3 linked regions of the Tribolium castaneum genome follow. The main gene of each other region encodes a partner of the protein of the gene in region 3 in a complex. Links are inferred from orthologs where the notes say so. Each region holds a gene or a part of one and is shown on either strand. Other genes may lie near its edges. The genes, in order: exosome complex component RRP43, Csl4 and Rrp4.

The links.
Region 1: Rrp4 (region 3) and exosome complex component RRP43 share a complex: the UniProt entries of both Homo sapiens proteins name them as parts of the RNA exosome core complex. The link is inferred for Tribolium castaneum from reciprocal best matches to the Homo sapiens genes EXOSC2 and EXOSC8.
Region 2: Rrp4 (region 3) and Csl4 share a complex: the UniProt entries of both Homo sapiens proteins name them as parts of the RNA exosome core complex. The link is inferred for Tribolium castaneum from reciprocal best matches to the Homo sapiens genes EXOSC2 and EXOSC1.

What each region holds. Positions count from the first base shown.
Region 1 is NC_087402.1:7,979,671-7,990,173, reverse strand, and holds exosome complex component RRP43, read right to left. Parts: upstream 6,537-10,503; 5' UTR 6,409-6,536; coding exon 6,392-6,408; intron 6,339-6,391; coding exon 6,164-6,338; intron 6,120-6,163; coding exon 5,825-6,119; intron 5,779-5,824; coding exon 5,658-5,778; intron 5,611-5,657; coding exon 5,403-5,610; 3' UTR 5,333-5,402; downstream 1-5,332. Other genes in the region: uncharacterized protein Spt20, read left to right, coding at 564-1,478, 3,395-3,580, 3,758-3,909; CycA (G2/mitotic-specific cyclin-A), read left to right, coding at 6,888-7,034, 7,090-7,524, 9,688-9,911, 9,959-10,466. UniProt on the Homo sapiens protein: Non-catalytic component of the RNA exosome complex which has 3'->5' exoribonuclease activity and participates in a multitude of cellular RNA processing and degradation events.
Region 2 is NC_087401.1:17,294,722-17,304,868, forward strand, and holds Csl4 (exosome complex component CSL4), read right to left. Parts: upstream 6,237-10,147; 5' UTR 6,150-6,236; intron 6,094-6,149; 5' UTR 5,937-6,093; coding exon 5,346-5,936; 3' UTR 5,290-5,345; downstream 1-5,289. Other genes in the region: protein HGH1 homolog, read left to right, coding at 6,443-6,530, 6,577-7,577; uncharacterized protein LOC100141651, read right to left, coding at 8,256-8,501, 8,547-9,320. UniProt on the Homo sapiens protein: Non-catalytic component of the RNA exosome complex which has 3'->5' exoribonuclease activity and participates in a multitude of cellular RNA processing and degradation events.
Region 3 is NC_087397.1:165,424-176,005, forward strand, and holds Rrp4 (exosome complex component RRP4), read right to left. Parts: upstream 6,673-10,582; 5' UTR 6,592-6,672; coding exon 6,467-6,591; intron 6,416-6,466; coding exon 6,178-6,415; intron 6,117-6,177; coding exon 5,982-6,116; intron 5,928-5,981; coding exon 5,748-5,927; intron 5,695-5,747; coding exon 5,482-5,694; 3' UTR 5,458-5,481; downstream 1-5,457. Other genes in the region: uncharacterized protein tyn, read left to right, coding at 1,832-1,895, 2,152-2,543, 3,126-3,609, 3,661-3,968, 4,018-4,151, 4,198-4,337, 4,385-4,611, 4,661-4,850 and 1 more; Impbeta11 (importin-11), read left to right, coding at 7,123-7,260, 7,308-7,408, 7,461-7,981, 8,035-8,492, 8,539-8,721, 9,039-9,967, 10,019-10,484, 10,536-10,582. UniProt on the Homo sapiens protein: Non-catalytic component of the RNA exosome complex which has 3'->5' exoribonuclease activity and participates in a multitude of cellular RNA processing and degradation events.

The sequences.
Region 1 (10,503 bases), on a different chromosome or scaffold from region 3:
TTCAACAAAACTAAAGTGATTTGAGTGATTATGAAGTCATTTACTTTATTTTAAAGTGCAGAATCGTCGAAAATCAACAAATTTCACCGAATGAAGTAAAAAAATTGTAGTTTTGGGCGAAAATAATACGTTTTCAGCAAGTGACATTTTTTTCAGTTGTACTTAAATAAAAATTAATTTGTCACACTGAAAACAGGAGGAAACTGGACGAAATAATAATATAATTACTTATGTATTATACATCAGATAATGTTAACAAAAATACAAGAAAAAAATAAATTCAATAATAATAATAATTTACACAACTGCCATAAAAAGACGTCTTGACTGATAATCGCCCTTTTGCCGATTTAACCGAAGTAATTAGTTGTGGTAATCTGAATTAACAGAACCCTTTATACTTTTTGTAGTTAACCAGCCGGGTGTTGCTTGACGATGTGACTTAAACTCCTATGTATTGTGTGCTTTTTGCGTTTGATTTTCTTTTTCCGTTCTTTTTAGAATGATTTTTAAATTTTAGTACGAAGTTTCCAAAATTGAATTTCTCCGTTGTTTTCATGTAGTCAACGCTAAACAGCAGCAGCAGCAGCAACAACAGAAACTCGCATCGAACCGCGGCAATACCGCCATCATCAACTTACTGAACAGTTCTCCAGCTAGTAATATAAACAGTGATGCGAGTGCAGCAGTAGTGAATGCAATAAACAATTCGTCGTTGTTACCGCAACAAGTACAGACTATTAACCAAAAACTCCTAGCACGTAAAATGACTCTTTCGAACGTTGCAAACGCGCGAGTGTTGAACCACAGTAATTTAATAGCCGTGAATAATAACCGAATGAACATTTCTGAGTTAAATTCGCAATTGTCGCAACCGCAAAGTCAGACGATTACTTTGACTTCGGTCAACAGCGGCGGGACTTATACCAATTATACGACAGTTCCGATCAAACAACAAGTCAGTGATAATAATAAATCGGCCTTGTCGGCGCTCCTTGTGGGCACACCGGCGGCCGATCGGCCCGATATTGTCGGTCCGAACACAAGCTCTCTTCTCCTAGAAAAACTCGGTGGTTCACCGGGAACCAGCTCTTCGAACGCGACGCAAAATTCAACGCATTTCATCCAAAGTCTCAAATCGGGACTACAGTACATGGTACAGTCGCCACCGAAAGCCAATACTGTCGTGTCGCCGCTATCAAGTCCACCGTCGCAAAATACCAACACGATAAATCTAGCGCAATTGCAGAGTTTGTCAGGGTTGCAAAATGTGCAAGTACAGTTGTTGTCTTTGAATGTTTCGTCGACGGGGAATCTTCAGGGACATCCAACGAGTTTGTTGGTCTCACTTCCGGTTAGTACATCGACGACATCGGCCAATACTGTTACGCAAACGGCCAACATGGCAAGCGGAGTTAATTCGATTGGGGTTGGTGGACCTACTGTTGTATTGGCCAATGCAGGGACTTCCAATATTGGTAAGGATTGATTGGTTGTGTGGTTGGAGAATAGGGGTGTTTTAACAGTTTTAACAAGCGTTGATTAATATCTGTAGCCGGACAAACACACGAAACCATTCAAAAATAAAATTTTACATATGCAGGATTCTATTCAAAGTCTGGTGCTTCAATGATTTTTAATTTAATTAAGCAACTAAAGCAACTAAAGAAAAACGCGCACAAAATTAATTCAATTTCGGACGAAACAAATAATTTCGTCTTTTTAATTTTATTTTTTAAAGAACCAGATAGCAAAATTTTCAATAACTCACCAATAACAATTGTTTATATCGACGACACTAGCACAATATTCACGAACGCACATGAATTTTATCACAAAATTACAAAATTTTATGTGTTGGAATCAAACACAAATCTCGCCTTTCAACAGATTTGTTTAAGTAATTTTAAAAATTATTAATCAACTACCTAACCGTGTGGAAGCTAGACTTGGACTGATTCATTAATCATTATCGTATCCATTTCCTTAAAAAAAAAACATTTCGCAACAATTCCATTCTAGAAGGGCAGCATATTATTGTCATTCGTAACATCATAACATCGAATTATTCGAATGTAAACAAAAACCAAACTCTAATCACAGGTCAAACATACGATGTTGAATTTAATTCGAATTTAAATCAACATTTGTTACAACTTTTGTATACAAACAAGATGTCTCAAAATTGGCGAATTCTGAGTTCAGAGCCTTGTAGAGATTGTGGTAAAAATACACTGGTTTGAAATTCACTCTTTGAATTGCCTTTTCTTCAAGTGCAGGCTAAAAGTTTCAATGTTTATTGTTATTTATGGTGTAGATGATTGTGAAGAATAATAATGTAAAACAATTTCTCAATAAACTAGCTTTATTTTAGAGTAAAAAAAATCATAAATTTTTATAATTAGCCGTTTCATTTTAAAAAATTTTCGATTTTTTACTCCAAAATAAAGCTATTTTTTGGTGAAATTGTTTTACATTATTATTTTCCGCAATCATCTACACCATAGATTCATTAAACACTGAAATTTTTAGCCTGCGTTTGAACAAAACGCAACTTTAAAGATGTGGTTAAAATATTATTTAAGCAAGACAACAATAAATCATGCTTTATCACAGACTATTTGTCTTCAACCTTAAATAGAGTCAAAGAAATGGCTTTCGAGTGAAGGATAAGATAGAGATCTAACAAGTCAGTTTAGGCAGAAACAATTTATTACGTTAAAAATTGTTTTAAGTATCGTAAAAACATGATTTTCATATTTTTTATTGAGAAGCGCAACATAGACGTGACTTATTTTCAAAATTATTAAAAAAATTATACGTTTCGGGTAGAATAGAGTTGGTACACATTTTTTTTAATTTACCTGATTCGTAATCTGTTATTCTGACAATAAAATGGGTTTAAAATGAGTCTTTGAAGCGTTAAAGCTTTAAAGTTGCCTACTCTGTTTCAAAACTACGGAAATGTTAACGTCGCATTTTACCAAATTTTTATAAATAAGATTTCTCACGGAAACTATAAATTACATTAGCCATTAATTTTTTGAACTAAGTTTGAGAGAAAATGCGACGTTGGAAAATATTTTCTCTAGGATTTTATGACCTATCCTTCTATTCTTATTATATGGCCCTATTTTATATTTTTACTGCCCTTTTTAGCATATTTTACAGTATAATACAATCCCGTCTCTGCTTATAATGGATTTCCAATATTAAATTGCAGAAATTTAATTTCTTTGTTTGTTTCTAACCGCTTGCAAAAGCACACATAATTAGTGAATTTGGTCTTTTTTTTGGTTTGTGAGGAGAAAATAGGATTTTTTGAATGGTTTCGCTGGTTGTCTTTGTGTTCATTTTTGCTTCGTGTTTGTAAAGTGGTTTTCTTTAAATCCAGCCCAGTTAGTCACGTCTGGGGTGAAGGGTTTAACCCAGCAGGGTATCCGGGCCCAGGGCCCCGCTTCGGTGTCGTTATCTCAGGGCGGGCAATCGTATCAGCTAGTGACCCCTTTACAGAGGCCCAGGATGCAGCAAAACATCCAAAGAACACCAATAACCCTCAAGATGGCAACACAGAACTCAAGTCAGTTGACCGATTTGCAGTTAAATGTCAATAGAAAATGATCATTTTCCATTAAATTCAATTGAGTTGAAGTCCTAATAGATTAATTCAATTAATTAATGCATGCTTTTTGTTGGTAATTTTTTAAGTAAAATCTGTGATATTCATTTTGAAACTTTTGAGAGTAAATTTTCTTAGATGCAGCTACAAATGCTTCAATAACAAGTCAACTGCAAAAGCAAGCTCAATTTCAACAGTATCAACAGCTCTGTCTGAACCAACAGCAGAAGAATGTGGCGGGCGTCGCGGGAAAACTTCGAAGACGATCAAACACTTCAGATCCACAGTAATATTGTATTTTCTGTACATTGTGTTATCGAACTAGTCTCTCCTGTTTGTTTTTATTTTTATATATACGTTTTAACTTTTGCTGAGTACTTCACTAACAAATAATAAACTGCCGAGCATTAGAGTGTCGTCTTTGTGAATGCATTCAAGCCGTCAGTAAAACTCAAACATCACACTCGTTTAATTCTTAATTTATAAACCTGTAGAGTTCTTCCCACTATTTCTGTGATCAAAGCCAGTATTATTATTTATTTCGTGGTCGAGAAAATAAATAGTACTGGGAAATGGTTGTAATGTTTGGATTTTTCAAACGCTTGGGTGGTACTTTTGCAAACAGTAAAGAGATATTGTTGATCTCATCTGCTGCATTACATTGCACAATTGTCGTTCCTACATTTAGAAATAAACATGGTGCCAAAAGTGGACCTATACCAGTTTATTTTCAGTTTTCTCTAGGTAGGGACACGGCCTATTGTTTTTACTGCCGTTTTATTTAAAACAGTACAAATCGCGAGATTTTCTTGTAGCAGGCCGCAATACTGTATAATACGGTATAAGCAATTTTGTGCATTTTTGCAGTTTCGTTTAGTTGTAGTTAATTTAATCTACTGTACATATGATAGGGAAGATGTATACTTTTTGTTATTTATTTATGAGCGCGGAGAATTCATATTAATGAAATAAGATTATCACTAAGTGCATTAGCAATATTGTTGGAAGAAATGTGAGTAGATTCATTTGATGTGTACATATTTTTTCTTTTGTAAATAATTTTAGGTGTATCCACTTTATCATAATTTATGATTGTTTTTAAGTAGTTTTATTTTTATACTCAATTAATGGTTGTGTAATGTTTCATTTTCTGGTTACATTTGTTTTAATTCTTCTAAAATCGGATCATCAACAAAAAAATATTTGTAGTATTAAGATATCAGGCATAAACGAGGACAAAATGTTATACTTTATAAAACATCAACGATGTAAAATTACACATTGTTAAAATATACAAATTTTTATTAAAACCCCTATTATTTATTGTTCCTGGTATTTTTCTACTACCATTCCTGTCCTAGGCGCAAACTTTTAACTGTACATACAGTAGACTTATTTCCCTTTTGAACGAAATGTGTAAAATACTTTGTAAAAATATCTAACATCCTTAGTCTCTACATTTGTATCATATGTGATTATGTGGTGAGTTGTAGTATTTTGTAATAATGTATATTATTTGCAATGTTTCGTATTTTTTGTACATAAATTCAGACACGTGTTGAATATTTGGCAATACCAATATGTATACTCGTTAAAATGTAAAGTGTTGATTTTTCCCGATTTTTATTTTTTCAATCCTGTAACAAAGACAATAGATTTTTTTATAAATGTGTGGTGATTTAATTTTAAATTCGGTTAAATGATCACACAACCTACTGTGGAACCTGTTAAAATTTTTATTTAAATAATATAGGATATACATTTATAAAAAAAAATGTTTTTATTATAAACTTTTAAAAGCTGTTTCTATAATTTCCTCAATCACAGTTGCACGTTTTGTACTTTCTTCCACACACTTTAAAAGTTGCTCTTCCGTAAAAACACAGCCACCTGGCTTGTGAACAAAACACAACTCTTCTTCCTTCACCACAATTGTCACCAAAGACGTACTTAAGTCCTCCTCATCCACTGTTGGGTCTATGAGAATTTTACTACAATCAAAAAATTAAAAAGTTTACAACAACAATGATAAGCTTACTCATCAAACATTGCAAACGTTGTTGCTATTGGAGTGTTGGTAACACTAAGAGCTTTCCTCTCTTGCACATTCACTTGCTTGTTGTCAAGGGCTGGATCGTACTGAACCGCTGGCAAAGTAACTGAAGCGCAATTATATTTTTCACAAAAAAACAATATTGTCTTTACCTGACTTAAGCGCTGCCATTAACGCAACAACACACGCGTCTATCAACGCCCCATCCAAATCCAAACAAATTAAATCAGCATATAAACACCAAGCTAATTTGTCTGGAAATATACATAACGTTTTTAAGTCTAAACAATCAGAGTTTTTTAAAATATCGGCAACTAACTGGGTCGCTACTTGGGCTTGTTCAGTTGGGGGTCCTGGCCGAAATTTTGACGAACACAACGGTGGTAATTCCACATTGGGGATCAAAAACCCCTCGTTTGCAGCCTCAGCCTTGGGCTGACACAACTCCTAAGGTTTGGTTTAGCAAATTGAATGCCTCCAATTACACTCACCGCTTTAATGCCGCAAACTACCGTCGTGCGACCAACTTTGGCAATCGCAGACCCATCGGCTGTCGAAATTGAGCCCAAATTGACCACGATGGGGCGATATTCCCCAAATTCGCGCCCATCAGGTCGGATTTTGTGGGCCAAGTGGTCGCGGAAGTACTTGACGGGGTGCAAAATCCTAAAACATAGGATAATCACCTTGTTATTTATTCACAGTACTACAATTATTACTTGTATTGTTCTGACATTATTGAATTTGTTTATAACCACGTTTTTCGTTTTTGACAATTGACATTATTAATGACGTTAGTTTTGATTGGTTGCCGACAACGGTGGGGGAAACGTTTGATTTGAAACGAGTAAATTCGGTTGAATAATGCAATTTTTGTAATGAAGACATTTGCTTGCAAATAGGGCATTTGGTTGGGAACAAGTATTGTCGATTGATTTTTGATTTAGTGCAAAATTCCGTTAAACCCTTCAAAACATGTTATCCCCACTCGTGTGACGTTGCTTAAATCTGGGCTCCCATTGGTCCCGTTTGTCATTTCAACGGTCTCTCAGCTGTTCGTTTCCCGCACTCTGCGCTCTTTGCATCTGGCCGTTAAAAACAGTCGTTTTGTCGGTTAGGGGTAGCTTGGGTGTTTAAGTTGGGGTTCAGTTTGGCCTTCGGTTCAGCAAACTTTTCGTTTTTCGGGTATTAGAAACTTGCACGTGTGTTAGAGGAATGGCATCGATAAGAATTCACCAGGACCAGGAAAACCGGGTGCCGGAATTGCGCCGAAAACCGGGAACGACTGCCCAGCAAAAACGGGGCGTTCTGGGCGAGATTGACAGTAATAAAGTTAATAACGCAGCCCTTAAAGGAAAACAGGTAATTAACAGTTGGAGGTAACTTTGGATGGGAAAAACGTTTGCTTTTTTGCCAGACGAAGAAGCCAACCGTTTTGGGAAACCGGGTGGAAAATGGGCAAAAAAACGAGAATAAGAAGAATGTCGTGGTTCCGGTGGCCCAGTTTGAGGCGTTTACTGTGTATGAGGATGATGAATACAGAGCGAGAATCGATGAAAGGCTCAAACTTATCAGTAAGAGTAATGTGTATAAAGGGACGGCCGAGGACAGGTTTATCACGAAGACAGAACTTGCCGAAATTGAAAGGAAAAAGAATTTGGAGAAATTGAAGGAAATTACTGCGCCTCAACTTAAGAGAAAATCGGAGATTCCGATGAGCATTGAGAAATCAGATGTGGAGAACATTGAGCTCAAAGAGCAAACGGTTTCCACAAATACCAATGCTAGAGATGTCTTTTTTGAAATGGAGGAGTATAGGGATAGCATTTTTGCTTATCTCAAAGAACATGAGGTAAAGTATCTTCAAGAACGACGAGAAAATTATTCCAAGTTTTTTTACATCCATTGACATTTATTCTCAATTAAAAAAAAAAAAACAGATTGAAGCCCTTTTTATTAACAACTTTGACTTTTTTTGAAATACTTTCGGGGCGGGAAATTTCATTATGGCTTTAATTTCGTATATTATATTCCATACTCTACGTTGTGATATGTTAAAAACATGAGAACACTTCAATTTACGATTTTTACCTATAACTTGAAAACTATCTTTTGTGGACTTTTCTCTAGAGCCTTTAGATGTGCCAAAAGCGTCAATTGAACCGGTTTTATAAAATCAGATTTATCAATTTTTGCGAAAATTTTGGTTGATTTCGATACCCGGAGCATTTATCGGGCAATAACTCCGGAACTGTTTTCCACGACCTTATTAAGATTGATCGTTGAAAAGCTTTTTTTATTTTCTATCTGCGACTGAAGAAATTGCTACTAAATGCAAAAATAGAAAGAAATTATTTCTGTAGATAACTTCAAAACTGTTACAAGTTTGGCCGTTTTCTCGACGTCAATCTATTCTTCGGATTATATTACATTGGAGTATCAAAGTGGTTCCATTTTTCGAATACTTTTGCTGTAATTGAGTAAATAAAAAATGAAAAATTACTGAACATTCTGTTTGATAAATCTTAATCTTATCTTTACGATGGAATAAGACTTTTTTCTGGTCTTTCAGTTTCACCGTATCCGTGTTTGAAAACTGATTTTTTTTGAGATTTAGTTCGATTTCTGGAGCATTTATCGGCCAATAATTTAGGAACTGTTAGACTTTACCCCATCAAGTTTGTTATTTTTGGAAAGCTTTTTTAACTATCACAAGCCAAAGATGTTTTTTATGTTTCCTGTATTCTGATTTCTGTAGTACCCACTGTTTTCTTTTCTACCACATTTACAAATAAAAAAAAGTTTATTATAAATTTTTAATAGTGAATTATTGAGTTAAAAATTTCAAATATTAGATGTGATACCTCTCGCGTTTAAAAAAAATCGTATGGGTGTTTTTTTTATGGATTGCTTCTGGGAGATCACATTTTATGGACCAACAGTAATGTTGTAATTAACATGTCTCTCACGAGAGGTAAAAGCGCAAAAACCGAGTGGTTTTATTTAATTTTTTGAAATAAGTAAAAATTATTGCTATGTCGTCATAGCAGTAAATTAAATTGGTAAAAACTGACAACAATATTGTAAACACTAAAAACTATGTTCGCCCGTGTTATCTATCGTTTTTTAAAATGATAATGTCATTTTTCTACCTATTTCATCTAATAGTTTCCGAGAAAATTGCTAAAGAAGCAAAATTAGGTAAAAATTATATGTTGTTAACTTGAAAACTATGAAGAATTTGACAGTTTTCTCTACAGCAAACGATTCTCCGGATTACTTTACTAAACCTATATTTTATTAGTTTTGTCGTAATTTACGATGGAATAGGATTTTTTTCGTAACTCTTTTAATTTCACCGTAACTAGCGTTTCACAATTGATTTTTTTTGGAGTTATCGCTTTGAAACCCACGCCAGTTTGTAGAGCTTTTGACGTCTGTTTCAATAGTTTCGCCTAATTGGCGCCTGAAAAAAAGGATAATTTTTTTCGTTTTTCTCGTAAACTGGTAATCGTCTGTCGGATGTGTGTAAGCAGAACTGAGACTTATTTAAAAAATATTACGTTACTCCAATAATTCGAATTCCAATGAATATGATTATAAAAAAAATCATGTCTTGCGATAACTTTTGTGCGCACTGTAAGAATAAGAATGCGTTTTAAATTATCTATGTTTTCGTAAAAACTCGAAACCGCTCCGGAAAATGGCTTCGCTTACAGAAACATTTTAAATTTTTTATTAAAAAAAATCATAATTCGAAATATAAAAAGTCCTACAGCAAAACGGTTTGATCAGATTACACTTTACGTAATATACTATTTTTCAAAAAAGGAAAATAGAGCATTTTAACTTAGAAAACCGTATTTAAACCATTTTTGCGGTCTAAACTTGAAAATTTATACGGAAACCCACTTTCTCTGTCAAAGTTCATGATTTTGAAATAAATATGATAGTGATACTAAGCATAATGCATAAACTGTGATTGGTCCTCCAAATCTCCACTAATTGTTTTCAGCTGCGACATCGGCCAAAACCCGGCTACATCGTGAAACAGCCTGACGTAACTGAAAACATGCGTGCTGTTTTGATCGATTGGCTTGTCGAAGTTACTGAAGAGTACGGTATGCAAACGGAAACCCTTTATTTGGCCGTAAATTTCATCGACCGATTTTTAAGTTACATGTCTGTAGTTAGGGCCAAATTGCAACTTGTGGGTACAGCTGCAATGTTTATTGCTTCGTAAGTCGATCGCCCAAACGCTATCCTCGTTTAATTTGCCCTTTCAGTAAATACGAGGAAATTTTTCCACCAGAAGTCAGCGAATTCGTGTACATCACTGACGACACTTACGACAAACACCAAATGATTAGAATGGAACAGTTAATTCTGAGGGTGTTGGGCTTCGATTTGTCGGTGCCCACACCACTTACTTTCCTAAACGCCATTTGCATTTCCACAAAACAAACCGAAAAAGTGAAGAATCTCGCGATGTATTTAAGCGAATCGGCGCTTCTGGAGGTCGAACCGTATTTACAGTTTTTGCCGTCAGTTGTCGCGTCGTCGGCGATAGCTCTCAGCAGACACACTTTGGGCGAAGAAGCGTGGCCTGGCGACTTGCAAAAATACACAGGATATAATTTGAAAAAATTAGAATCTTGTATTGGATTCTTGTATAAAATGTTCGCCAAAGCGCCATCTAATCCACAACACGCCATTCGGGACAAGTACAAGGCGCCAAAGTATATGCAAGTTTCTAAGATTAGTCCCAGCGGTGAGATGATTTCGTTCGATTAAAAGACTGCTCTACTTCGTAGGGAACAAAGGCCTTGCG
Region 2 (10,147 bases), on a different chromosome or scaffold from region 3:
AAAAAGTGGAACTGTTTTGATCCTTACCTATGCAAAATGATCCGGGGAATCGATTGGCATCGAGAAAATTGCCAAATTCCGAATAGTTTTTTAGTTATGAATTTTTTAAAATTTTACCAATTTTTGCATTTTTCTCAAATTTGCTCGAAAACTATTAGTCGCAGAACACTAATTTTTTTTGAAAAAGATAGATAATTTAAAGAGCTTTCCAACGATAATACACTTCATGGGGTTATCTCTGATAGTTCCGGAGCTATTGCTCGAGAAAATTCCGGGTACCCAAAATCGACCAAAACTGCGACGAAAATTGAAAAAATCAAACATCTAAAAATCGAACATATGGACTTTTTGTGGACTAAAAACAACTTTTGTGGGTTGTTAAGACATAAAGAAGTCCATAAAAATTTGGTGGAGTGAATTTAAAAAAAAATTTTTTTTCATCACTTTGAAGGTAAGGTGTAGGCACAAATTTATTACTCAGGAAATTTGAGCAAAAAATTTGAAAATTTTAAATCTCGTGAAAAGTTGGTATAATACAGAAAAAAATCCGCTGAATCCAATGGAACAAACCGCGTTGCTCTACGACTTTTAGTTTTCGAGTTATGAATTTTTTTATTGAATAAAATTTTCCACTATGACAAATGACTACCCTAAATTTAGGCAAAAAATTTTAAATTTTTAATTCCTGTGAAAAATTGATATAATATGTAAAATGAGCCGTAGAATTCAATGGAACAAACCGCAGTGCTCTACGACTTTTAGTTTTTTTTTTATGAATTTTTTTAGTGAAAAACTTTGATCGCCTCTGTAGCCGGAACCGTTGCCCGGAGCGGCTCCGGGTTTAGTCGAAAAAATAGATAAAATTAAGCGCTATCAGATGGTTTTTTGTTCGTTGCTCTAAGTCTTACAGTTTCCGAGAAAAACGCAAAAAAAGGTTTCCATTTTCACTTTTTTTCAATTTTCAACCGCCAATTACGGCGAAACTATTAGAGTTATCGAAAAACGGAAAAATGGAGGATAACCGGAATAAAAAACTCTACAAAATGGCATAGGACTCAAGGCGATATCTCGCAAAAAATTTTTCAATTTTCAAACGCCGATTACGGCCAAACTAAAAGAGCTAGACGAAAACGGTTTGTTCGATCGTAAAGAGCACATCAAAATCTATAAGATAGAATAGGTTTCATTTGATTTAGAGACACTTTAAAAATTGACCGATTTTAAGGGGGGGGTGTTAACTTTTTTTTTATTTTTTTTATTTTCCCAATTACGACTAAACTATTCGAAAAAGTGGAACTGTTTTGATCCTTACCTATGCAAAATGATCCGGGGAATCGATTGGCATCGAGAAAATTGCCAAATTCCGAATAGTTTTTTAGTTATGAATTTTTTAAAATTTTACCAATTTTTGCATTTTTCTCAAATTTGCTCGAAAACTATTAGTCGCAGAACACTAATTTTTTTTGAAAAAGATAGATAATTTAAAGAGCTTTCCAACGATAATACACTTCATGGGGTTATCTCTGATAGTTCCGGAGCTATTGCTCGAGAAAATTCCGGGTACCCAAAATCGACCAAAACTGCGACGAAAATTGAAAAAATCAAACATCTAAAAATCGAACATATGGACTTTTTGTGGACTAAAAACAACTTTTGTGGGTTGTTAAGACATAAAGAAGTCCATAAAAATTTGGTGGAGTGAATTTAAAAAAAAATTTTTTTTCATCACTTTGAAGGTAAGGTGTAGGCACAAATTTATTACTCAGGAAATTTGAGCAAAAAATTTGAAAATTTTAAATCTCGTGAAAAGTTGGTATAATACAGAAAAAAATCCGCTGAATCCAATGGAACAAACCGCGTTGCTCTACGACTTTTAGTTTTCGAGTTATGAATTTTTTTATTGAATAAAATTTTCCACTATGACAAATGACTACCCTAAATTTAGGCAAAAAATTTTAAATTTTTAATTCCTGTGAAAAATTGATATAATATGTAAAATGAGCCGTAGAATTCAATGGAACAAACCGCAGTGCTCTACGACTTTTAGTTTTTTTTTTATGAATTTTTTTAGTGAAAAACTTTGATCGCCTCTGTAGCCGGAACCGTTGCCCGGAGCGGCTCCGGGTTTAGTCGAAAAAATAGATAAAATTAAGCGCTATCAGATGGTTTTTTGTTCGTTGCTCTAAGTCTTACAGTTTCCGAGAAAAACGCAAAAAAAGGTTTCCATTTTCACTTTTTTTCAATTTTCAACCGCCAATTACGGCGAAACTATTAGAGTTATCGAAAAACGGAAAAATGGAGGATAACCGGAATAAAAAACTCTACAAAATGGCATAGGACTCAAGGCGATATCTCGCAAAAAATTTTTCAATTTTCAAACGCCGATTACGGCCAAACTAAAAGAGCTAGACGAAAACGGTTTGTTCGATCGTAAAGAGCACATCAAAATCTATAAGATAGAATAGGTTTCATTTGATTTAGAGACACTTTAAAAATTGACCGATTTTAAGGGGGGGGTGTTAACTTTTTTTTTATTTTTTTTATTTTCCCAATTACGACTAAACTATTCGAAAAAGTGGAACTGTTTTGATCCTTACCTATGCAAAATGATCCGGGGAATCGATTGGCATCGAGAAAATTGCCAAATTCCGAATAGTTTTTTAGTTATGAATTTTTTAAAATTTTACCAATTTTTGCATTTTTCTCAAATTTGCTCGAAAACTATTAGTCGCAGAACACTAATTTTTTTTGAAAAAGATAGATAATTTAAAGAGCTTTCCAACGATAATACACTTCATGGGGTTATCTCTGATAGTTCCGGAGCTATTGCTCGAGAAAATTCCGGGTACCCAAAATCGACCAAAACTGCGACGAAAATTGAAAAAATCAAACATCTAAAAATCGAACATATGGACTTTTTGTGGACTAAAAACAACTTTTGTGGGTTGTTAAGACATAAAGAAGTCCATAAAAATTTGGTGGAGTGAATTTAAAAAAAAATTTTTTTTCATCACTTTGAAGGTAAGGTGTAGGCACAAATTTATTACTCAGGAAATTTGAGCAAAAAATTTGAAAATTTTAAATCTCGTGAAAAGTTGGTATAATACAGAAAAAAATCCGCTGAATCCAATGGAACAAACCGCGTTGCTCTACGACTTTTAGTTTTCGAGTTATGAATTTTTTTATTGAATAAAATTTTCCACTATGACAAATGACTACCCTAAATTTAGGCAAAAAATTTTAAATTTTTAATTCCTGTGAAAAATTGATATAATATGTAAAATGAGCCGTAGAATTCAATGGAACAAACCGCAGTGCTCTACGACTTTTAGTTTTTTTTTTATGAATTTTTTTAGTGAAAAACTTTGATCGCCTCTGTAGCCGGAACCGTTGCCCGGAGCGGCTCCGGGTTTAGTCGAAAAAATAGATAAAATTAAGCGCTATCAGATGGTTTTTTGTTCGTTGCTCTAAGTCTTACAGTTTCCGAGAAAAACGCAAAAAAAGGTTTCCATTTTCACTTTTTTTCAATTTTCAACCGCCAATTACGGCGAAACTATTAGAGTTATCGAAAAACGGAAAAATGGAGGATAACCGGAATAAAAAACTCTACAAAATGGCATAGGACTCAAGGCGATATCTCGCAAAAAATTTTTCAATTTTCAAACGCCGATTACGGCCAAACTAAAAGAGCTAGACGAAAACGGTTTGTTCGATCGTAAAGAGCACATCAAAATCTATAAGATAGAATAGGTTTCATTTGATTTAGAGACACTTTAAAAATTGACCGATTTTAAGGGGGGGGTGTTAACTTTTTTTTTATTTTTTTTATTTTCCCAATTACGACTAAACTATTCGAAAAAGTGGAACTGTTTTGATCCTTACCTATGCAAAATGATCCGGGGAATCGATTGGCATCGAGAAAATTGCCAAATTCCGAATAGTTTTTTAGTTATGAATTTTTTAAAATTTTACCAATTTTTGCATTTTTCTCAAATTTGCTCGAAAACTATTAGTCGCAGAACACTAATTTTTTTTGAAAAAGATAGATAATTTAAAGAGCTTTCCAACGATAATACACTTCATGGGGTTATCTCTGATAGTTCCGGAGCTATTGCTCGAGAAAATTCCGGGTACCCAAAATCGACCAAAACTGCGACGAAAATTGAAAAAATCAAACATCTAAAAATCGAACATATGGACTTTTTGTGGACTAAAAACAACTTTTGTGGGTTGTTAAGACATATGGAAATCCATTAATATGGAATAGGCCACATGTAATTCACCCCCTTCTTTCTCCTTTTTTTTTTTTTTTTTTTTTAAGTCCCACTTTTACGATTACGCATTGAGACCCTCACAGCCATCATACAAACACAAAAATAAACTCACCCTTAGTTTTTGGTGGGGCGGAAATTCCGTTTTTTTTACGTTTTTGTGGACTTTTAACATGGTCGTACAATTACAGCAACAACAGACAAAATAAAACAAAATAAGTAGATTTAAATGACATTTAGCCACTTTCATAAAAAACAACCCTTCAATAAATAAATCTCGTATCTCTGTTCCTAGTTGACCAAAAATTTTAAAATCAAAACCAACTTATTCTCCACTGCAAACAGTTCCCGAAACTAGAAAAAGTATTAATAAAAGTTGAAAAAAAATATAAGGGTGGGTTTTTCAAACTAATATAAACCCCATCGAGTGACCCCTCAAACTTCACCGCCTGAACTGGACATTACAAAAACACAAAAATGTGTAGGTCTTTTATGGCTCCTTAAAGAGATAGCAAAATGACTATTGAAAATTACAATTTCAACCAGACCGTCGCTTAGACTACATCAAGTTGCATCTTTTCTCTCATAGAACAAAATTGCGCCCAACGCTTAGTTTCCGAGATATTTAAAGAATTAGGTTCAAATTCAAATTTTCGCGCCTGCGTTTATTTTTAAGTTTTTTGAGCACGTTTTTCAGGAAGCAGCGTGATTTTTTAAGTTTTTCAATTTTTATCGAATTACGGCTAAACTATTCGAAAAAGTGGAACTATTTTGATCCTTACCTATGCAAAATGATCCGGGAAATCGATTGACATCGAGAAAATCGCCAAATTCCCGATAGTTTTTTAGTTATGATTTTTTTAATGTTTCCAATTTTTGCTTTTGCTTGCAATTTTCTCGAAAACTATTAGTCGGAGAACAATAATCATTTTTGAAAAAAATAGATAATCCAAAGAGCTTTCCAACGATTATAAACTTTATAGGGTTATCTCTAATAGTTCAATTAACTTTTTTGCACTTTTAAGGGACGCAAAAGGGTTTATTAAAATAAACAAAAATACAATTTATTGAACATTATTTCACATCATTTTGCACGCTTTCTGGCACAACTCTTGCAACCTTCCTGGCCTCCTTCACAAACGTCTTGGAGCACTGCATCTCCGTCCAGCTCACAGGCACCATAAGCCCCCCATGTTCCGAGTGCGCCGTCACGACCCCCAGCTCATTCTCAGCCGTGGACAACTGATAAGTGTGAGCTTCCGTGATCGGCAAAACCCTCGCCAGAATCACGTCCCCGGGCCTGAAACTCTTGTAAATCTCCACGCGGTCCTTCTCCGTCGCTCGCACGTCCTCCTTCCGCAAAATCCCGCGATACTGCCGCCCCAAAACCTTATCCCCGACACACTTAATGTAGCATTTGCAAAACTGCTGCGTGATTGTGTGAATTTGCGCTGTGACGATGTCGCCCTGTGACGGCACGAGCGTTTCCTGCCCGGAACTGCGCACTTCAATGATCTGGACGTTGTCTTTGGGGACAATGTCCACAACACCGGCAAGGGTGGCGTAGATGTAGCCCCCACGCTCGTACGTGCCTTGACCGGACACGTGCGAGGGGTCCGACAGGCACAGCCGCTGCCCCGGGAGGCACACAAGGGGCGATGACATGCCCAAAATCAACAAAAAACGAAATTTTTGATTTTTTTTGAGGTTAAGTCAAATGTCAATTGACATGAAGAAATTTCAAAAACTGCGTGTTCCTTTTACTGTCAATATTATTATCACGGCAGACGACGTTCAAAGCCAATCAAAGGCACACAAGGAGCTATAACATGCGAAAAATCAGCACAAAAACGAAATTTTTGATTTTTTTGAGGTTACGTCAAGTGTCACTGTCAATTGTCAAAAAACGAATTTGCAAAATTTTACTTTCTCATTCATTAATTAACATTAATTACCAATTACGACCATTAATTTGGCTACAGAATTAAATAAACTGGTTTATGTTATGTTTATTTAACTACTCATTACACCCTGTATATACATACAACGTAGAGATAAACCTAAAAAAATAATGCCTTACTTATTAGAATGATTTTTTGCCACCTAACCCCACTTTTTTGACAGCTGTCACCCCTCGTGTTTTGTTTTTTTTTGGGGGCTTTAGCCTGATAATGGGTGATTCCGTGGCCGAATTGTTGCAGTTTGTGCATCTGGGGGCCCGTTTGGACCTCAAATCGGTGGCTTTGGGGCACATTTTGGGTAATAGGGTTCGAGGTTAGACTTGTTTTTTGTAATTTTTTTGTAGGTTTGACGGGGAATGCGGACGGAATTGCCACATTAATCAACACACCGTCACTTCTGGTCTCCTTAATCACACTTTTGAGTGATAATAACGCCACAATTGTCAAAGACTCGGCACTTTGCCTTGTTAATGTCTCTGCTGATCACAAGGGGGCCCTGGCATTGCTTGATTTGGACACGAGTGTGGGGTGCCCCCCTTTACAGAGCCCCCCGAGTGACATTACTTCGACTGTTGTTAAATTCGTGACGGACCCCATGAGTAAAATCGCCGATTTTTCCTGCATGATTTTATCGAACTTATCTCGGGCCAATCACGATAAAGTGATTGATGCGCTTGAGAAAAGCGCAAGTTTGGACGATTTGATTGACATTTTCACGAAAAAACAGTACAATAAAGCGGGGGCTAACCTCCACTACTTGAGCCCCCTTTTTTCGAACTTGTCGCAAAGTGGGCGCGTCCGGAGACGCTTCCTGGACCGGATCCACAAACTCGTGCCTTTCATTGAATTCGAGGAGTCGGCCGTGAGGCGCGGGGGCGTCGTGGGGGCCCTGCGTAACTGCACATTTGACCCCGAGTGTCATGAGCTGCTCTTGGGCCCCCATGTCGATATCTTGCCCCGGCTGCTCCGCCCCCTGGCCGGAAACGAGGAATTTGACGACGAAGACAACGACAAGCTCCCCCTTGAACTGCAATATCTCCCGGAGGAGAAACAGCGTGAAGAAGATCCAGATATCAGGTGCATGTTACTGGAGGCTTTGACCCAGTTATGTGCCAAGAGAAAAAATCGAGAATTTATCAGAGAGAGAAACACTTATGTGATTTTGCGCGAGTTGCACAAGTGGGAAAAGGACAGAAAGGTGCTTTTAGCGTGTGAAAATTTGGTCGATATTTTGATACGCACCGAGGAGGAAATTGGAGAAGATGATTTGAAGACACTTAAAGTGCCCCAAAGTTTAAGCGAAGACTTCAATAAAGCGGATGAGCAGTTTTTAAAAGATGAATAAATTTTTTTACAATTAAATTTCGTCTTTCTATATATTTCAAAAATATATAATTTCGGACGAATTAGTTCGGGTGACAGAAGTTTCACTGTATTAACAGTTGTCACTGTTGTTCTGGCCGTTTCCATAACAATTAAATTATTTAGAAATTTTGCGCAATATTTGAGTTTTTGTTTAGAAACGGTAACTTTTCATTCATTTTTGACCAAATTTGGTGATTTTTCTGTTCTAGTTTAATAAAAACATGAAAAAAAAAACTAGATTTTTGGTCAAAAAACGTGTTTAAATTTTCAGAACTTGCAAAAAAATTTCATTTTTTGCATAATTTTTTGATTTATTACCTGATTTAAAAAAATGCGAAATAATGAAGTTTTTGCTTAGAAAAAGTAAATTATTTTTCATTTTTGACCAAATTTGGTGATTTTTTTCATTCTACTTTAATAAAAACAGGAAAAAAACTAGATTTTTGGTTTAAAAAAACGTGTTTATATTTTCAGAATTTGCAAAAAATGTTATTTTTGAATAATTTTGTGATTTATTACCCGATTTTTAAAAAAAAATTGCGAAGTAATTAAGTTTTTGCTTAGAAAAAAATAAATTTTTGGTCATTTTTGTCCAAATTTGTTGATTTTTTTCGTTCAAGTTCAATAAAAACAGGAAGAAAAAGTGAAAAATCAGAATTCAATTTTTATTAGTGACTTGCACCACGACGATCACAAAGTTGGCAACAGTGGCAAACATGCGCAAAATCGTCGGCTTGCCCAACCGGAAATAACCGGCGGTTAAAACCGGCAAATTCTCCTCCACATATTCGGTTAACTCAAACAATTCGTAATTTTGTAACCGCATTTCGTAAAACAATGTTACAATTTTCTCGCCCTCTTGTCTCACGTAGTCACACAGTAGTAATAAAACAGTGGTCCAAACCTAAAAATAACTAGCACTGCCAACCTAAACCATTAAGACACTAACCACAGTCGGTCCAAGCCTCAAGCTTGCCAAAACTATGCTTTCAAACACCGAAACTTCAATTTTCACATACAGGGTGAACAAAATATAGTTAAGGACTTCAAAAGTCGTGAACGCGACCATTAAAGCAATGGGGAATTGGAAAATTTCGTTGAAAACATCAATAGTTTGTCTCAACTGGACGAAAATTTGCACAGTTTCGTTTAGCGTTTTTTGGTGGCGTATTTTCTGGTAACAAACCCGAAACGTGTTCAGTACAACACATAGCATAAATTTGTAATAATTGGTGAAAAAAATCTGCACCAAACGCACATTAAACTTGTTCAAGTAGCGCCAACCGAACAAAAACGCCCACCGAAAATCCACCAAAGCCTCACACAACAACGTCAAAAAACAAAATCCCCAAAATTTACTAAAATACGGCAACTTCCAGCCCTTCTTTTTAGGGACTTTTATCTTGATTTTGATAATTTCAAGGTGACGCATCAGGAGGTACCAACGTTTGCGTTGCCTCAAATTCACCACTACCAACACATACAAACTAAAAATGTACAAGTTTAATTCGGTCAAATAAGCCACCACGATTTTCATGTAAATGTCCCCAAGGTAAAAATTGTTGGTAATCGTGGTTGAAATTAGCCCACAAGTTAGCAAACCCAAGACCACGAAAATGTACATTTTTTGGTAAAATGGTTCCGTTTTCGTGTCAATGGACGATGGGGTGATTGCAAAAAACCGACCAATGGTACAAACAAGACGCAACGTTTTCAGACCCATGGCTGGGTCCCAACTGACCTTGACTCCCTCACACGCGAAATAAATTATTCAGTGTTGTTAGATAAATAAAAGTTACGTTTTTATGTGTTTGTTTTATTTCACCTCAATTATTAACTAAAAAAAAAAACACCACAAAAAAAACTTGCATAACTTTTAATAGATTATTTTGCCAGAATTAAACATTTGCGTCGTTTTGTTATGATTCCTTATCACGGAAAACGTACCGGAAGTGATAAAATTTGCCCAAATTGAATAATTTAATATTAGATTGTATAACTGGTTGCATACTCACTATAATTAAAGTTTTACGATAACATTTAACTTTCACTTTGTTTAGTAATAATTGCCATAATTGTTAAATAACAACGATTAAGAATCACTTAAACAAGCATTTCGCTAATTTCATTCTTCTGGTGTAAGCATTAGTAATGTTACCTAACCTGATTTATTAATTTTTGTTAATAAAATATATAAATAATATTATGCGATACGGTAATTAAAAGCCAGGAACTAAAGCGTTTTTTAAATGTTGTTAATGTTATTTTAATGCAATTAATTAATTGTGTGCATAACTGGTTGCCTATACTATGTTACGTAATCGGTATTTTTCTTGTTAATTAATAGTTCTTATCAATAATGTATTAAGTGTACTACCAGATGCTAAACAACAAATAATACAACAAAAAATGTACACAAACAAAAAAATAAACAGTTTTTGCGTCTGTTGTATGATTGGTTGCCTATACTACAAACTTTCCTTTTAATAAAAAATTCAACTTTCGTTTTAATGATTGTTTTAATTGGATTAAATAACACACGTGGCTTGA
Region 3 (10,582 bases):
CAAGTGCTAATTTATTACTTAGTACACGAGCATCGGACGGCTTTTTCATGACCACTTCATATTTTATTCAACACTGCCGACAATCATTTTATTTTATCTCCGAAATCGAGCGAAAGCAAAAAATACTATAGCGAACACAAAACAATAACTTTAATATCACGTCAGCTAATAAAAGTTGCAATTAAACCAATCCACGCCTCGGCGCAATTTTCTCGTTCGTGTGTAAAGAAAAGGATTCGATTCTGTCAAATCCCTTGCATTTACACCAAGTGTTATTTGCTCCCAAAAGGGCAGGAGTTTTACAAAATTGCTCAATTCTGATTAGCTAACGGAACGTTAGTCAATTATAACCGACAAGACAAGATAATAATGACAGCCGTTTGAAAACCTCAAGTTTTGATGTGGCACTGTGTCGTACCGTTACACCATGATGTGACCTCACAATTTTTTCACTCACATATTTGGAATCACGTTTTCGTGTTGTACGTATTGATTTGTCATGGGAAAAGCTTTCGATAATTAAGTCACCCATTTTGCGAAACAAACCACAGATTTGATGGTCGAATGACGATCAATACTGAACGTTTGTTTTTTTTTTTCAAATTGAATTCTAGGAGTTTGGAGTTGATTAATGAAATTGGCTGAGTGAATTAACAGTTCCATTAACGGTAAAGACCATAACATAAGTAGTTCGTTCTACTGTTAAAATTTAGTTATCGGTGCTCCTTTTTCTTCGTCTGATTAATTATGTTTCCTTTCCATTTCGAATAATCAAGAAAAGCGAAAGTGGTAAAGAATGTCGTTTGTAAGAAAAACTATCAACTGATACGTTGACCTCCGTCACTTTTCACACTCTTAATTAGAAAAGTTCAAATACCTGTCGGATTCATTGTCTTTCATTGAAGCATAAAGCCTTTTACGACGGTGTATTAGTGAGAATTTTCAGTGTTCTTCATAGTGCATTGCCCTTGCAATCATCAACCAACTATACATGCCAACCTTTGACCGCACTTCCATTCTCGTAAACGCTGCTTATTCTTGCAGTTGCTTTACGAAGGGAGATTTGCATTTTGAATTTATTCAAATGCTCGATCGATATTTCAACGACGCTTTATTTATGACTGGAATATTTTTACATGTTTCGACTCTGATTCTTATCCAGAAAAGACCAGCATCTGGCTTATGGCAGCTACCAAGAGACTTGAGCTGTTTTTCACTTAATTAAATTAATTATCTTATTTGGTTCGAGATAATCTCTCTGTGATCTACTCGTCACTAATTTCCAGATGTGTGCGTTAACAGCATACACTCATATTTTTTAAAAATACTTAAATTTAAAAATGGTGGATGCGCCGGGTATTTTTATTGTTGCATTATGTCCAACATTCCATTTGATTCCGAAATAAAATTACCGATGTCTCGCTTCCTTACGCTTAATTGGCGCGAAGTTATAATTCATGGTAAAGTATAGTAACACTGCAATTGCGTTTCGAATTCGAGAATTCGCATGCTTCGAAGAATTCAAGTTTAATTCTTCGCTTGATCGAATATGAAATTGAATTTGTGCGTAATTCATTTTCAATGAAACTACAAATATTTAACGACTAACACAAAAAAAGAAACTAGAGTGATGTATTTCCATATTAAATAACGCGGACGAAGAGGCGCCTAAGTAGCCTGTCGAGTAGTCATCTATTACGTGCAAACATGCAAGTAACGTTTCCACATTCAGTGCTTAATGAGTGAGATATTTTAGGTCGTTTTCCCACAGATAAAATATAAACACGCTAACATCTCCTATCCATATTTACAGAGTTGTCTTTTTTTGCAGATGGTGCACCATACTCTTGCAATAAGTCTGATTCTAGTCGTAGTGAATATATATGGAAGTTTAGGTGAGTTCTTTTACTTGTTTCATTCAAGCGGAACGACTTGAACGGTTCTTTGCGGTTTTCGGATTGTTTCCAAATTACGCTCGACCGTTAATTATGTTTTGTTTGTCCCAACTTAAAGAGACGCCAAGTTTCTAATCATCTTAATTGTTTTACATAACTTTGCATAGATATCCATTTTAAGCGAACACAGGAGGAAGTTATAAAACTAAATGATCGTACAAAATCTATCAACAAGTAAATTTCCATTTAATTCCAGGAAGGATAGCGTTTGAAAAACTAACAGACTTCGATTATCGAGGAAACACATATTACACCGTAAAAAATTTAAGTCTTTATGAGTGTCAAGGTTGGTGTCGTGAAGAGCCCGATTGTCAAGCTGCAGCTTTTAGTTTCGTGGTAAATCCTTTAATACCCGTCCAAGAAACGCTTTGTCAACTTCAGAATGAAACTTCATCGAATAATCCGTCAGCGGTACCACAACGTTCCGTCAATATGTACTACATGACCAAGTTGCAACTACGTTCAGAGAACGTTTGTTTGAGACCTTGGGCTTTTGAACGCGTCCCGAATAAAATGATAAGGGGCTTGGACAACGCCCTTATTTACACTTCAACTAAAGAAGCTTGTCTTGCGGCTTGTCTCAATGAGGTATAAATAACACTTTTAATCAAAATGTTGGGGATAATTTTTGCTTCAAAAACAGAAAAACAACAATGGTTGTTTTACCATGAAGTAAACAGTGAATAAAATAGCTATTATCGTTTACGAAATACGGAATAAAAATATGTTTTGTAAAATTGTACATTAACATATTTTCTTGACTTTTTTGTATTATTTAATGTGTACAATTTTAAAAATCGCCATAGATACTTAAATGCTATGTAAAATTTTATGCGCTGCATTCAAATTTGAAGGTCGTTTGTAGATTTGAAATTGCCTTCATTATGAAAAATAGGTTTTAGCGAAAAGTTTGCAAAAACCTAAAATTGAACAAATTTTGCGTTTGCATTCGCTAGAAACTTTATTTTTTTTAACAGAAATTCTTCAATTAATACGGATTTTTAATGAGAATTACACTTTCTTGTAAAGTTACAAGAAAATTTCGAGATTTTTTTCTTTTAAAAGATAGATCCCTACATGATTAAATACTTCACAGCAAGCTTATCCCCAACACCTTGACTGGAAAAAGTAATTTTTCTTCGAAATGTGACTATAAAATTTTCATTGTAGCACCGTTTCACCTGCCGTTCGGTGGAATACAATTATGTGACTCTCCAATGTCAATTGAGCGACTCTGATCGACGTACCACTGGTCAATTTGTGCAATTCGTAGACGCACAAGGTGTTGACTATTTCGAAAATCTGTGTTTAAAAGGAAATCAAGCTTGTAAAGGCAACCGAATCTTCCAAACGCCTCGAATTGGAGTCGCTGACGATAAAGTAGCACAATACGCTTCTTTGCATTATTACACCGATAAAGAACTACAAGTGACAAGTGAAGCGGCTTGTCGTTTAGCTTGCGAAATCGAAAACGAATTTCTTTGTCGATCGTTTTTGTACAAGGGACCTCCACAAGGCTCACAATACAACTGCCAGTTGTTCCACCTTGACCACAAAACTTTACCGGATGGACCTAGCACTTATCTAAACGCTGAACGACCTCTCATTGACAACGGGGAACGAATTGGGAGTTATTTCGAAAATTCGTGCGAAAGTGAGTACAATTCATTCATTGATGGAATTATAATTTAATAATTTCTTTTAGAAACGGTTTCACCATCTGGGGCTCCCTCTGATAACACTCTCCCTGTAGTGTTTGAAGCTACAGAAGACCCGACTTTGAACAACTTGACCCGAAGTGATGTCAATTGTGACAAAACTGGAACTTGCTACGATGTTTCAGTCAATTGTAAAGATACCAAAATCGCAGTTCAAGTCAGGACCAACAAACCGTTCAATGGCCGGATTTATGCTTTAGGACGTTCAGAAACTTGTAATGTTGATGTTATCAACAGTGATCTCTTCAGATTGGATTTAACGATGACGGGACAAGATTGTAACACGCAGTCGGTGGTATGTTACTTCACCTAACAATAAAAGTGTGTAAAAGCCGCTGTTTCAGACCGGTGTGTATAGCAATACTGTTGTTTTGCAACACCACAGTGTTGTTATGACCAAAGCTGATAAAATCTACAAAGTCAAGTGCACGTACGATATGTCGTCGAAAAATATCACCTTCGGAATGATGCCAATCAGGTGAGAAATAAAATATGTAAAACAACTCGATCCAATTTTTTTGCAGAGATCCTGAAATGATTAGCATCACCTCAGCTCCTGAAGCGCCACCTCCAAGAATCCGCATCTTGGATAGTCGGTCTCGTGAGGTGGAAACAGTGCGAATTGGAGACAAACTCACTTTCAGGATTGAAATTCCCGAAGACAGTATGTAATTTATTTTAACCATTAAAATATTGTTATTGTTATTTTAGCACCGTATGGTATTTTTGCGCGAAGTTGTGTCGCAATGGCTAAAGATTCTAAAAGTACGTTCCAAATTATTGATGACGAAGGATGTCCGGTTGATCCCAGCATCTTTCCTGCCTTCACTCCCGACGGAAATGCTCTCCAATCAGTGTATGAAGCTTTCCGTTTCACGGAATCATACGGCGTGATTTTTCAATGCAATGTCAAGTATTGTCTGGGACCGTGCGAAGCTGTGAGTAATTAATTTTTTATGTTTATTTGTGGTGATTTTCTTGTGTTAGGCTGTGTGCGAATGGGGACGGGATTCGATCGAATCTTGGGGTAGGAGAAAGAGATCTGTGAGTAATACAACCGATGAAGAAAAGGAAGAAGACATGACTTTGAGTCAAGAGATCCTAGTTCTTGATTTTGGAGATGAGAAACAATCGCAGTTTCTCAAAAGCAGCGAATCGAGTGCTGATTTCGGTAAAGGTATTAGTGTTGGATTTCGGACGAGTTTTTATTCAATTGATTTGTTTCTAGATAAAACAGTAACGATCATTGAACCGTGCCCCACCAAGACTTCAGTGTTAGCCTTGGGTGTGACTTGTGCCTTATTAGTTCTACTTTACATCAGTACGCTGTTCTGTTACTACATGAAGAAGTGGTTAAATCCCGGGAAACACATCGCTTGAAGATTTAGAGACACTTTGGTGCTTTAATCAAGTTTGATCTTTCGGTTGAGTTGACGAGCAGCATTGTTAGTTCTGTGATATCGTTAACTCGAGATGAGATATCAAATAGGGAATTCCCCGACTCTACATTATGCAATATGTATTTTTTAAGGATTTTTTTTCGGGAAGGTGGCGGCCTTGGTGATGGAAGCTTTATTTTACCGTTGCAAAAGTTATACTTTCTTGATCTCTTATTAAAACTAATTTGCACTGACTCTCGTTCCTAGAGCAAATTTTGTAACGGTAAACAGTCTAATTCGTGTACTTATTTATTTTATTTATTTACTTTTTTGTATATATCTCGACTAGGCTAACATTATTTATATCGATTATTTTATACACGTTCTCAAGTCGAATAATAGACATTTTTTATAAGAAAAAACTATTTATTATGAATTTTCCAACATGCTTAACCTATCCTGAGTCAAAATTGCTACATCGACCATAGCTTCAGGAATCAATAATTCAGCCACTGAATATTTCTGTGATTCTTCAAAAGCATACAAAATGCTAGTATCGTACAGCATCATTTTACTTTGAATAAGCGCCAAAATACAGTTTCGAAGACGTCCAATTGTTTCTCTTTCTGGCCTTGAAACGACCTAAAAACACCACAGTAGCAAAAAAAAACAACAAAACTATTGTGAGACACAACTTGTTCCAAATTTTGCACAAAGCCACCAGCGTTATCCTCAGCATTTGAAACAGTTGGATAAATCCAAATAAACCCATTATTGCCCAAAATAATACTAGCCCCAACATAGAAATTGTGAAAATGTGTTTTGCTCCTTTTAATGAGCGAGGGAAAGACTTTAACTAAAATACCTTGAGAAAGCTACAATCAAAAATGAACGTATAATCAAAACGTAACGAAAAACACGAGACAAACTTTTCCATATTTCAAACTTCTAGTATGTAAAGATAAAGAACCATCTGAATAAACGCTCTGTACTTCGGCACTTATAAGATCGCCCTCTTGAAGATATTGTCTCATCATATGCTCGTCTTCTGCTGATCTACGCCGCTGAAATTTAATATTGCCAACTTACTTGCAAAATTAACGACCAAAAAAATCTTTTATGTACCAGTTCCCCTCCTGGTAAATTAACGGAAGACAACAACAAGACCGAATCCAGACGCGAATTCGTATCAACTTTCCAGCGTTTTTGTTGGACTTCTGTGACTCGTCCAACCACCACATCACCCACTTCACCATTATATCGACTTTTTAACGGACGAATCGAAATCAAATTATTTACTTGTTCCTTAACTCCAGCAACTGATGATTTTAAAAAACCCTCTTCTTCGTACGTACCATGCCCTCTATTTAGAAAAATCGCAAAATTTCAAAAAAAAACACGAGACAAACCTAACCTCATAAATTCATTTTGCTCCGTAATCACTTGTCCCGGAGTAAATATCTTTGGAACTCGACGGTTAACAGCAATTGAGGGGTTGATGCGATGAGCGGCAAGGCGTATGTGAATTTTTTGCGGCATGTTCTTGCAAAACACTCGAACCGCATTTGAGATTAGAAACAACAATTACTGGGTTAGGCAAGCAACAATACGCAAGTACGCAATCTATATAAAATTGTGACTTCTCTGTTATCAATCTGAATTATTATTGAAACTTGTTTTTAATTTTCTATTTTGTCGGTTTTATGTGTAATTTAATTATTAAAAGGAAATTTTTGTTTTTTGGTATTTTTAATGACTGTTGTGGTAGTCGTGCATGTCATTTGAAACATGTCATATGTGTTTTGACAATTGATAATTTTATTTAAGAAAAAATAATTGTATAATACCGGTCAGGTGAGGCAAAATTTTCTTTTCCACATTGAAATGAAAAAATTTTAAATTTGTTATTACCATAATGTAAGGCGTATTAGGAAATCAAAATTAAATTATTCTAACCTCACTTTTGCGATTTGTCTTACACACAAGTTAAAATTTATTGAAAATAATTCGTATATTGTTGTGTATTATAATAAATTGTGGTTCTCAAGGGGGAAATGATTATAATTCACAATGAATACGGGATCAACACAAGACATCGTAATTGAAGTTCTGCAAAGAGCCTCGAGTCAAAATCCAGAAGTGTTAAAACCGGCTGAAGCCAAATTACGGGAATGGGAAACTCAACCTGGATTTTACACAGTTTTATTTGTACGTATTGGGCAAAAAACACAATTAAATAATACACCATTCTTCAGAATGTTTTATCTAACCACTCGCTTGATATAAACGTACGGTGGATTGCAGTTTTGTATATAAAAAATGGTATTGAACGATATTGGAGAAAAAACGCACCAAAGTAAGTCACGCAAGTTGTAATGTACCTAACTAAAGTTAATGTCCATTTCTAGCGCTATTTTAGAGGCAGAAAAACAAAACATTAAACACGGTTTAATTTTAAGTTTTAACGAACCCGTTAGTCAGATTGCGGTACAAAGAGCGGTTTTAATTTCGAAAATTGCACGAATTGATTGTCCGAAAGAGTGGCCCGAATTATTTCCGACTTTACTACAAGTAATTGAAAGTCCTGATTCTCTAGTCCAACATCGAGGATTTTTAACTCTTCATCATGTAGTTAAAGCCATTGCTTCGAAACGGTTAACAGGCGATCGCCGTTTTTTCCAAGAGTTTTCCAGTAATATTTATTCGTTTGTGTTGAATTTATGGAATAATTTCACCGAACAATTTATGAATGATGTAATGAAAGGCGCAGCTTCGCAACTAGTTCTTACAAATTTGGAAAAAGCACTATTGACTTTGAGGATTTTACGCAAATTGACTGTTTTTGGTTTTTATAAACCGCATCAAAACCAGGATTGTATGAAGTTTTTGAAAGTGATTTTTGATCGCGCTAAAATGGCACTGCAATGCAGTGAGTAGTTTGTGTGGTTATAATTTTTTTTTCGTCACATTTGAACATTACAGGGAAACATTTGAGGGATAAAGAACTGGTGGAACAATGCGAAAAATTCATTACACACTTAACGAAAGTTTTAATATCCGTCTTGGACGTACATCCATTTTCATTCATTGATTTCATTCAACCTTCGTTCGAATTTACTACTTATTTTCTTTTCACTCCTGATGGAATTAATTTCTTGTTTGAACGCTTCATTATTCAGTGTTTTAATTTAATTAAAAATATTCTCTTGTGTGTGGAATATAAACCGCCGAAAATTCTCGAAATGTGTAAACAGGAGGAAACACTTAAAGCGCACGAGATCAAAATTAATTTTTTTCAAGCCAATACTTTAACCGAAATTTGCCGAAAATTGGTCTCGCATTATTTTATTTTGACACAAGAAGAGTTGGAAATGTGGGATGCTGATCCAGAAACGTTTGCGATTGATGAAAGTGGTGATAGTTGGAAGTATAGTTTGAGGGTAAGAACAAGAAATAATTGTGTAAATAAATTAAATACAATTTCAGCCTTGTATGGAAACTGTTTTCGTGACAATTTTTCACGAATTTCGGGACGCTTTAGCTCCGGTTTTGCTTGAAATGATTCATGAAACCAACTGTATTGTTTTACCCGAAGACACTCAAGGAATATTACGTAAAGACGCAGTCTATAATGCAGTTAACTTGGCCGCTTATGATCTTTATGACGAGGTAAGTAAAAAATGTTTAATTAATTAATATTTAATTTTAAGTCATTGCAAAAAAATATTTCCTGGCATTCTAAAATTATTGTCTTTTGTATAAAACAATATTAAAAAAAAAACTTTAGAATATTGTTGTTATTATTATATGTATTATATTATATTAAAAACATATTATTTCTAAAGAAATTCTTGTCATAAACAAAAAATATTTATTAATGAAATAAAAATTTAAAATCTAGGTAAATGTACTCGTAATTTTTGTAGAGAAACAATTTTTTACTTATTTTTTGCGCAAAACATTTAAGTATAAAAAATATTTTTCAGGTCGATTTCGATTCATGGTTCACCAACACATTAACTCATGAGCTTAAAATGAAACAGAACAATTACCGTGTGATTCGGCGAAGAGTTTGCGCCTTAATCGGCCGTTGGACTGGCATAAAATTATCATCGGAATTACGTCCAGCTTTATACGAATGTGTGATTAATTTATTAGGTCCTGACGAAGACATGGCTGTTCGCTTAACAGCCTCTGCAACACTACGATACGCTATTGATGATTTTGAGTTCAGTTCCGATCAATTTCGTGATTATTTAGACCCAGCATTTAACTTATTGTTTAATCTGTTGAAAGAAGCGAACGAATGCGAGACAAAAATGCACGTTTTGAACGTAATGACCCTAATGGTGGAGAGAGTAGGACAGACTATTAAACCACACACTGATGCATTGATTCATTATTTGCCATTGTTGTGGACCGAATCTGAAGATCATAATATGTTGAGATGTGCGATTGTTTCGACTTTGGTTCAATTGGTCAAAGCTTTGGGGTCGGTTAGTTCAGAATTGAACCCGTTTTTATTACCGATTATACAATTAGGCACTGATACGAATCAAAGTGCTATTGTTTATCTCTTGGAGGATTGTCTCGAGTTGTGGTTGACTGTGTTGGAAAATTCTACAACTATGTCAAACGAGCTTTTGCAACTATTTAACAATATGCCAACTTTATTGGAATATTCAACTGAGAACTTAAGACTTTGCCTATTGATTGTGTTGGTTCACACTTTGTTGGCGCCAGATCTTGTCATGCGAACACACGGAGTTCAAGTGATTACAGTTTGTGATAATTTAATGGCCGATATGAAAAATGAAGGCATTGTAATGTTGATCCGAATGTTGGAAATTTTTATTCGATCGTCACCGATTCTAGGCTGCGAGACTGTTTTCCCCATTTTACCACGTATATTCCAGTATGTGATTTTGATTTTTTCTACAACTTTAAATGACAGAATTAATTTTAGAAAAATCTACGAGGGTGAGGATTATCCTCTCTTAATGTCAATGTACCTGTCTATACTGGCACGTGTTTTGCTTTCCTCGCATGATGTTTTTACACGTGTTTTGCGCACGTTGGCTCAAGTTCATAATGAAACGGACGAAAATGTCCTTGGAAAAATTTTAAATGTTTGGTTATCGAAAATGCCAATGGTGTCTCAATTAGAACAGCGCAAACTTTTGGGTCTAGCGTTGACGAATTTATTGACCACTCAAAGTCGGCCAGTGTTTCAGAGATTTGCAACAGTTATGGTCAATATTTTGGAGTGTTTGAACGATATGGAAGATTCACTTTTGTTGTCGGATGGTCGTAGTCCGAGTGATTATGATGATGTTGTGCCGTATGAAACCGATCATGATCAAAGGAAGAAACAATTGATTTTGTCGGATCCAGTGCATACGATAGTTTTGAAAGATTATTTGCAATCACAAGTGAGTTGATTTTTATTTTTTGTTTGCATTGTTTTGGTGGTTTTGTTTCAGATGTATGAACTTAGGAATCAGATTGGGTTACCTCAGTATGAACAACT